2 linked regions of the Coturnix japonica genome follow. The protein of the gene in region 1 interacts with the protein of each later gene in a pairwise test. Links are inferred from orthologs where the notes say so. Each region holds a gene or a part of one and is shown on either strand. Other genes may lie near its edges. The genes, in order: GPR37 and ADRB2.

Evidence for each region.
Region 2: the proteins of GPR37 (region 1) and ADRB2 interact in a protein complementation assay, tested with the Homo sapiens proteins (2 studies listed by BioGRID and IntAct, with this or other methods). The link is inferred for Coturnix japonica from reciprocal best matches to the Homo sapiens genes GPR37 and ADRB2.

Annotation. Positions count from the first base shown.
Region 1 is NC_029516.1:20,448,844-20,453,354, forward strand, and holds the start of GPR37 (prosaposin receptor GPR37), read right to left. Parts: upstream 2,826-4,511; 5' UTR 1,973-2,825; coding exon 1,352-1,972; intron 1-1,351.
Region 2 is NC_029528.1:10,594,357-10,598,618, forward strand, and holds the start of ADRB2 (beta-2 adrenergic receptor), read right to left. Parts: upstream 2,921-4,262; 5' UTR 2,699-2,920; coding exon 1,525-2,698; intron 1-1,524. UniProt on the Homo sapiens protein: Beta-adrenergic receptors mediate the catecholamine-induced activation of adenylate cyclase through the action of G proteins. The beta-2-adrenergic receptor binds epinephrine with an approximately 30-fold greater affinity than it does norepinephrine.

The sequences.
Region 1 (4,511 bases):
AACTCCCCTGCAATGAGCAGTGTTTTCTTCTACTTACTGCTCCCAGGGTGACGAATATTCTTTACATGCGTATTATACTTAATGACTAATGAACAAAATATGTACAGTTCTGGGAGTGACATGGTACCTCAAGGCTCTCTCTACTCAGTTGTTCGCCTCAGATACAACTTAATTAAATTTCCTCTGGGAAGAGGAGAATGACCCCAGTAATGACCAAGCCTCAGACAGGCACCATTGGGCTGGTCCATCATCAGTGGATGGCTGACAGTTCTTGAATAAAAGTTCAGCTGTGGGCATCTGAGGAACTTTAAAGTGAAAACTAAGGTGACATTAGAGAATAAAGGAGGGGTCAGCAGCTGCCTGATGCCTTCAGGATTACAGCTACATTTGACAGCTCCATTTCAGCTCAGGTAATTCAGAAGGGGGGAGAAGGGAGGGGAAAGTACTGAAATACTAAACTTAGATCACTACTTTAAATAAAGTGGTCACACTTTAACTGAAGCAGGAACTACTCATCTACTGGATAACACAGCATCCCTAGAAGTGAATTCAGAGCTCTCAGAAGCTCCTGCCCAAAGCTCCTATTAGCATTCTCAACAAATACATATTTCACCCTTCACTTCTTCCCAAACCCAGGTCAATGGAGTGTACCCTAAGCTTTCCAGATCACGGCATCAGTATACTAACTGGCTTCAGTTCCTCTGAGTACATCACAGCTCCACTCTTTGTCCAGTACTGCAAGTAACAGAGTGCATCACACAGAACAGAAGTGATGGCAGTGTAGTGGCTGCACGCTCTATCTTAAGACCTCCATAAAAGTATCGTTTGGCAGCTGATAGTGGAGACTGATATTCTATGTATTAATAACAGGGTTAATTTTTTTCTTCCCTTTTTCACACCTCTAGTATCGCATTTGTACTACAAGCAAATCAACAGTTTCTTCTCAGCTTCCAGTTTAGAGAATAACACTGAGCAGAAGGATTTGGGCGAAGAGCAGAGAGAGACAGCATACCGGGCTCCCACTCCATCTCACCCCTCATCTCCAGCACATGAATCCAACTCTCCTCCAACCTATCCCAACTCAATCCCCGAGTCATTTCACTTTAAGGGGGGGGGGGGGGAAAAGAAAGAAAGACTAAAACTTGTAATCAAACGTTGCGAGTACTCCTCGCCTTTTCAGCACCACGAGGAGCGATAAAAGTTTGGCAGAACTCGCACGAGAGGAAGCGCTCAGCCGGAGATACGGGGATCCCGGAGCTGCCACCCTGACTGACCACGGGACGCCCCCCGGAGCACGGGACCCCACGCTACGACACGAGGGCTGCCCGGGATCCGCTCGCCCCGCCGTTACCTCGATGTAAGGGACGATTTTGCAGGAGAAGTCCTCTAGGAGCCACTTCTTGGTAAGCTCCTGGAAGATGACCAGAGGAAGGCAGAAGAAGAGGATGAGGAAGTCCCAGAAGGCCAGGTTGGCCAGCAGGGAGTTGGAGATGCTCCGCATGTAGTAGTTGTGCCACACGATGCACATCACCGAGAGGTTCCCGATGATGCCGATGCCGAAGATCACCACGGAGAGGCACATAACGGCGTAGGCGCCGTACGACTCCTCGGTCAGCGGGTAGAAGGGGTTCCGGAGCCGGGCTCGGCGCCCCGTACCATTGCCGCGGCCCCCGGCGGCGCTCTCACCACGGGCAGAGCCGTTCAGCGGCAGCCACCGGGGGCCGCTCCCCGCCGCCGCCCCGACCCCGCTCTCGCTGCTCCGCGCCCGCCGCCGCCCGGGCTCCGCCTCGGCCCCGCGCCGGGGCACAGCGGCGACGGCGCGGCGGCCCGGGGGGGCGAGAGGCGTCGGCGCTGAGCTGGAGCGCTGCGGGGGCGCCGGCAGAGCAGAGCCGGCGACGGGGAGCAGGGCGCAGGCGGCCCAGGCGCCCAGCACCGGGCAAAGCAGGGCGAGGGGAGCGCGGAGCTGCCGCATGGCCGGGAGGCGGCGGGGCTCAGCCGCTGCCCTTCGGCTCGGCGGGGCTGGCGGCGGGGGACATACCCGCACTCGGAGCTGAGCTTCTCGCCGCCTCCCGGGGCAGTGCCCGAAAGTTGTGCCGCCGCCTCCGCCGCGCGGAGTTAATGTAGCGTGTGCGGGGCCGGGAGGACCCCCCCCGGCGCTCCGCCCTTCCGCGGGAGCGCTGCCGCCCCGCCGCCTGCCGCCTATTTACATCCAACAGCGGGCAGCGGGGCTCTCGGCTGGGAGAGGTCCCCCGGGAACGCCGCCCATACCCGGGTGACCGCGGCCACCGGCTCCTCCCGGAGAGAACAGGTTGTCGCGCGGAGCGCAGCGTGTTTGAGATCTTTGCCAAACTCCGTCCGTCGGCAAGCAACGCGCTCGGGGTAGATGCAGTCCCGGGACCGACCCCTGCAGGATGCTCCCGCCTCCGGCTGCAGCGAGAGGGCGGCGACCGCAGCTCCGTGCGGGAGCTGAGAGGTGCTGGTCGGCGGGTTGCTCCCGGCTCAGCCCGGTGCCGCTGTCAGCCCGGTGCCGCTCGGTCCAGCTCTGCCCAGCCCGGCTCGGCGCAGCGGCGGCTGGGGGCGCGTCGGAGAGACGGGCGAGCAGCGCGGCTGCCCCGCAGTGCGCAAGCGCCGCCCGGCGGCACGGAGGGACCGATCCGGCTCCGGCGAGTCCGATTTTAGTCGGTGATGGAAGATGTGGCCCAAAGCACCACCCTTACGACTGGACTGCGCCGGAGGCATCCCCGGATGGTGCTGAGACCCATGAAGGCTGCTCTGCTTTTTTGTTTGTTTGTTTTGTTAGTTTATTTTCCTGTTTTGAGCGTCTTTTAACGCTTATGTTTGTTGTCCTTGTTCTGTCTGATAAACTTTATAGCTCTTCCTTCTTGCTTCCTTGATTTTTATATAATTCAAGCGTTTTTTTAGCTAAACAAAGTTGGATACGCTAACCTGTAAGTAGCCTGAAGCTCTGTGCAGCTCCTCCCCACCACCTTTAAAAGTTTTACACTCTTTCTAAGAAGCACATTGAGAAGTGTTCTTGTTCCCCACCCTTGAGCTGAAGCCGTTCTGTTAGATCAGTAAGCAGCTGGAGCTGTGCTCCATGGCTGTGCGTCTAACAGAGCTGTGGGCTCCTCTTGTGGACAAGTGTTGCGACCCCGAGCACAAGGAGTGTGTTTGCAGGCTTTTTGTCTTAATGACCAACAAAGGAAAATGTCAGTCTGCAGTGACAGAAAATACATGCTGCACGCACACGGAGCCAACCTGCCAGATGCAATCAGGAACACGCTGCTGTTGCTTTGTCTCCGCAGGGCAGAGGCAAGATGTAATGCCCATAAGATTCTTTGTATGGATTGTTTTCTTACAGTTTATTTCACAGAATTATTTGAGTTAGAAGGGAACCTTAAAGATCATCTAGTCCAACTCCCTTGCAATGAACAGGGACACCTACAGCTATGTCAGTTTGCTCAGAGCCCTCTCCAGCCTGACCTTGAGCGTCTCCAAGGACAAGGCATCCACCGCCACTGGGCAACCTGTTCCAGAGCCTCACCACCCTTATTAAAAATCTCTTTCCTCATATACAGTCTAAATCTTACCCCTTTTAGTTTGTGATCGTTTCTCCCTGTCCCATCATATCACACCCTGCTAAAGTCTGTCTTCTACTTTCTTAGAGCCCCCCTTTAGGTACTGAAAGGCTGTTTTCAATCTCCCAGAGCTTTCTCTTCTCCAGGCTGAACAGCCCCAGCTCTCTCAGCCTGTCTTGGTAGGGTAGTGTTCCAGGTGAGGTCTCCCCAGCACAGAGCCGAGGGCAGGATCACCTCCCTCAGTCTGCTGGCCACTTTTGATGTAGCCCAGAATCTGGTTGGCTTTCTGGACTGGACAAACAATAACCCACCCAAGTGGCAGAAGGGAAGCATTGCATCAAGGCACTCGCTGGACTGACTTTGCTTTCAACAGAGGGCAAAGTGCCTGGGATCAGGAGCATCCAACATCATCTACATTGAGTGTCTGGAGGTGCCCCAGTACACTACCTACACCAGAAGGATGACAAAAATTGACCTTTGAGTGGCTAAAAGGAGTGAATCCTGTCCCACACTAACTGAAGAGCAGTGCCTTTCCATGGTGGTCGCACAGAAAGCTCTCAGGACCCAGGTGCCATCCTGCTCCTGACGCCATTCTCACACATAGAGTTGGAATGTAACTGTGGGCAGCCTGAAATGTTTCTAAGCATGTGGAAACAGGTATAATAAATTTGGCACTGCTGCATGGAATGCTCCTTAATATAAGTTATGCTATTATTCTTCCTTAGCAATGTGTCATCTCATGGACTTAAATGACCAAGGTAGTAAATATTTTTTAACTAACAAGAGTGTCTTTAAATAGAAAAATAGCAGGAGAACAAGGGAATGGTAAATACATTTAACCTTTTTTTTTTTTTTTTTTTTTTCTTTCTTATTTTTTTCCCCCATTTGATTCTTTGGAGCTCAGCTGGTGTATAAAAGGAGTTAATGATGCTA
Region 2 (4,262 bases), on another chromosome or scaffold:
CATAGGGTTAGGAAAGGGCTAAGGGGCTGCCTGACCTCCCAAACCGGATTGGGATACCTGGGGGAAGGCAGAAGGGAGCACGAGGATTTCTAAACCCTTCCCCACAAAACCGGGTGGGGCTTTACCATGAGGAACGCCAAGGGCTCAAGAATGAGTTTGCAGCCACCCTGCACCTTGCAGCACCTTATGAGCCGATCCCATCCAGCGTTCCCTGGGCGCACCCTCGGGGGCTGCAGGAACAGTGGGCAGAACAGCCCAGGTCTTTGCGAGCCTCCTATTAACGGTGCCAACCCTGGGGAGAAGAGCTCCCACGGGGCGCGGGGCCGTCCCTCCCCCATCTTTCCCACGTGCTTCTATAGACACCGCACTTTCACATCCTCCTCGGCTCCCCTCTTTCAAACTGCAGCTGAGGAAGAAAGCGAAGGGGGGGAGCTCCATTTCAGCCCCGCGATCGCTGCTTTCTTCCAGCGGGGTCTCCGAGCAGCGCCGAGCAGCACAGCCACCCTGTCCGTCCGTCCGTCCGTCCGTCCGTCCCCACCTGCCCGCTCGCGTCTGCCACCGTGACAGCCCATGCGCCCGCCGCCAAGTGCTGCGGGAACGCAATGCAAAGCCCGCTGCAAGGGGAAAAAACCCTTCACAAACAAACCGACAGACCAACCCAGAGCCGTCCCGCGGCCAGGGCTGCGCTGCCGGACTGTCAGCCCTCAGCGACAGAAAATAAAACCTTCCCTGCCCACCTCTACGGGCTGAGAGCCGAATTTAAACTGGGCGGCTACAAGAGCTTTGGCTGCGGTCTCGATAAAAGGACGGGCTGCGACTGCAGCAGCGTATCGCCCAGCTTCCCATTATCACGTTCCTGAGTCCCACACCCACTGTATCACATTCTGGGCAAAGACTCCGTTTATTTCTATCCTTATTTCAGCGGACAGTCCTATAGCACTTGGCAAAAGACGCATTCGTGGTTGTCGTGGGTTTGTTTTTTTTTTGTTTTGTTTTGTTCTGTTTTTCCGGGCGTTGTTTAAACTTTCCCACTGACAGCAACAGGATCAGACGCAGCCGACAGAGCTCTAAGCATCCCTAAAGGGGGGGATATGGGGGCAGGTGCTGCACAGCTCGGGGAGCACAGCGCTCCCGCAGCAGCCGCCAGCACCGAGCTCATGAGGTAGTTCAACATCGGCCACAGCCAGGAAGTTCTTCCTGGGACGAGCTTTCTGCACAGCCTTAAAATACCATCCCCCAGCACTCCTCACCCCCCCGGCTCAAGGGACCTAAGGTCGTGCACTTAAATTCATAACCTCTGCAAGCAGCCAGCCCACCCAAGCCACCCAGGGCAGCCTTCCACCTGTTTGCAGGAGGTTTGCTGAGTTTTAGGTTCCTTGCAGCCATTGAGGTTTAGGTGTGCTTTAGGTGAGGATCGTTATTATTACTGGGTTTTTGTTTTTCCTTAGAGGAAGGCTCATCGTTAGGAGCAGTGTGCCACGCCAGAGCCCATCGCATCTCAGAGCTACCCACTAGGCACAGTACCTTTGCAGTGCAAAAAGTCCTCAGGGTGAGGGAAGGAGCCCTCTTCGCAGAGCAGCTCGCAGGCTTTCTCTGGTGCCAGGGGGTAGCCGTTCTCCTCCTCGTTGTAGTCACTCCTGCCGTTGCTGTTTGAGTAGCCATTAGCGTACATCTTCAGAGCAGACCTGCGGAGGCACAGGAGCTCCTGGAAGGCGTACCTGAAGTCTGGGCTCCGGCAGTAGATCAGGGGATTGAAGGCAGAGTTGACATAGCCCAGCCAGTTCAAGAGAATGTACACGTACTTGGGGATGATGTCGTCCTGGATGACGTGCACGATGTTGACGATGAAGAAGGGCAGCCAGCACAGCGTGAAGGTGCCCATGATGATGCCCAAGGTCTTCAAAGCTTTGTGCTCCTTCAGGAAGAACTTGGAGGAACGGCGGTGCCCGGTTTTCCCGTTCTGGTCCTGTTCCTTGTTCTGGATGTGAAACCTGCCCTCACTCCGGTCTATCTTCTGCAGTTGCTTCTTGGCCACCTGGAAGACCCTGGCGTACACAAATACCATGACCACAAGCGGTAGGTAGAAAGAGATGATGGAGGAGGCAATGGCATAGGCTTGGTTGGTGAAGAAGTCACAGCACGTGTCCTTCTCATAGCAGAGGATGGCCTCATCACGGTCTGCCCGGTACCAGTGCATCTGGATGGGCAGGAAGGAGGTGAGGGCCGAGATGGCCCACACCATCAGGATGACCACACGTGCCTTGCTCTTGGTCAGCAGGCTCTGGTACTTGAATGGGGAGGTGATGGCAAAGTATCGATCCACAGCGATGACACACAGGGTCTCGATGCTGGCGGTGACACAAAGCACATCCAGAGAGGTCCAGAACTCACACCAAAAGTTCCCAAACTTCCACATCTCCATGATGATGTGGCAGGCACCGAAGGGCACCACACCCAGTCCCATCACCAGGTCTGCACACGCCAGCGAGGTGATGAAGTAGTTGGTGACCGTCTGCAGGCGCTGGAAGCGGGCGATGGCGGTGATCACCAGCACGTTGCCGAAGACGATGACCAGCACGATGAGCGACATGAGGATCCCCATGCCCACCACCCACACGTCCCGCGACACCGTGGGGTCTGCTGCGCTCTGGTTGGCACTGACGTTGCCGCCGGGCAGCTCGGTGCCCTCCACCCCCATGTCCCCCCAGCCGGATCCCCGGGCAGGCTGCGGGGGCTGCTCTCAGCGTTCCGATGTCGTGGCGTTTCGCCGGGCTCCGCGCATAGGGAACAGCAGGTGCGGGCTGTGAGCGGTGGCTCCCGCCGTGCGGGGCTGTACGAGCTGCGCTCCGCTCCAGATCGCCCCGCTCCTCACCCGACCCAACTCGTCCCGCAGCGTCTCACCCGCCCGACTGTCCCCAGCCCGTTCGGCGCCGCCGAGCTTATAGCAACACCCGCCGTGACATCAGCCCGACACGGCCAATGGCAGCCGGCGCCGCGCCTTGCGCGCACCTCGCACCCCCCCGTGTGCCCCCCGGCCCGGCAGCCGCCCCACGCGTGTTCCAGCTCCACGCTACAGCCTGAGAACGGAGGCGTCCGTCTCCCTCCCCACGCTGCGGTCCCGCTGCCCCCCGACACCCCGACACGGGGTTATGTGACTTCTGCGCTGCTCCCTGCCACCAAAGCGAACAAATATCCTAAATAAGGGCTGAGGGATCCTACAAACTTCAGTGTCACGAGAGATAACGTTCTGGCTGGAACGCCATGTCTGCGCATTGCTGTGCACGGAAGGGTCCCATCTCCTCGTGCTGCCGTCCCGCAGGTGGCACCGTATGTGAGCGGGGGCTGCCCGCAGCCTCTCAGCCAGCGCTATCAATACAGGAGCCGCCTGCACGCAGGGGGAGCTTTGTGGTTTAACACCGAGGGGTGAGCGAGGTGCTGGAATCAGGAAACACGATGAAGTTGCAGTTGCAGCAGCTCGTGCTTCTGGCTCAGGGGCTGTAACGGGTGGCTTTGGAATGCTTGTGAAGCAGCCAAGAGTGCAGGGGAGCACTAATGACCTTAGTTAATTACCAGGACTTTTCAGTGCCCACCATTGAGTTAAAGGGATCCACGCAATCCATGCAACGTATGGCTGCAGCCAGCTGGTGGAAGGCTGTAACATCACACTGGCTTTGCACCAGGTGAGGATCTGTTCCATCCTTGAATACAGGCTTAACACCTGCAGGCTCCTGTGCACTGAGGTTCCTGCACGGTGCATGCACCTCATGGGGAGAACACAGCAGAAAACTGCTAGGAAAATGCAGGTGGATCAGATGTAATGTTGGGGGAGAAGAGCAGGAGGGAAAAGTGATGAGTGTGGGAACTACATGTTGTGCTCAGCTCACTGTCCAATGCTCTATTTGAAGACCTGGTCAGAAAACTCTGCCAAATGATCAAGGTAAGTCTATGGTAGTAACTGGCAAGTTTGCTTCCTGTAAGGCTAACATCAGGAAATGCTCTGACACTAAATCACAACTTTCAGGAAGTATCAGGTTCCTTGTTCCAATAGACATTTCATGCTTATCCTTGCAAGAAGTGCTGTCTTGAAAGGAGGAGAGGCAGCTTTGGGAGCTTAGGAGAAAACACACTGAGTCTGGGAGGGTCGGAGCTCAGATTTGTGTCTCATAGCACATGCAGAACACACTTGAGCTGTCTGTTCATCCTGCACATCCTGGTAATGGCCCTCCATCCTTCTCCAGAGCCTCCATCACCACCATGGTGTG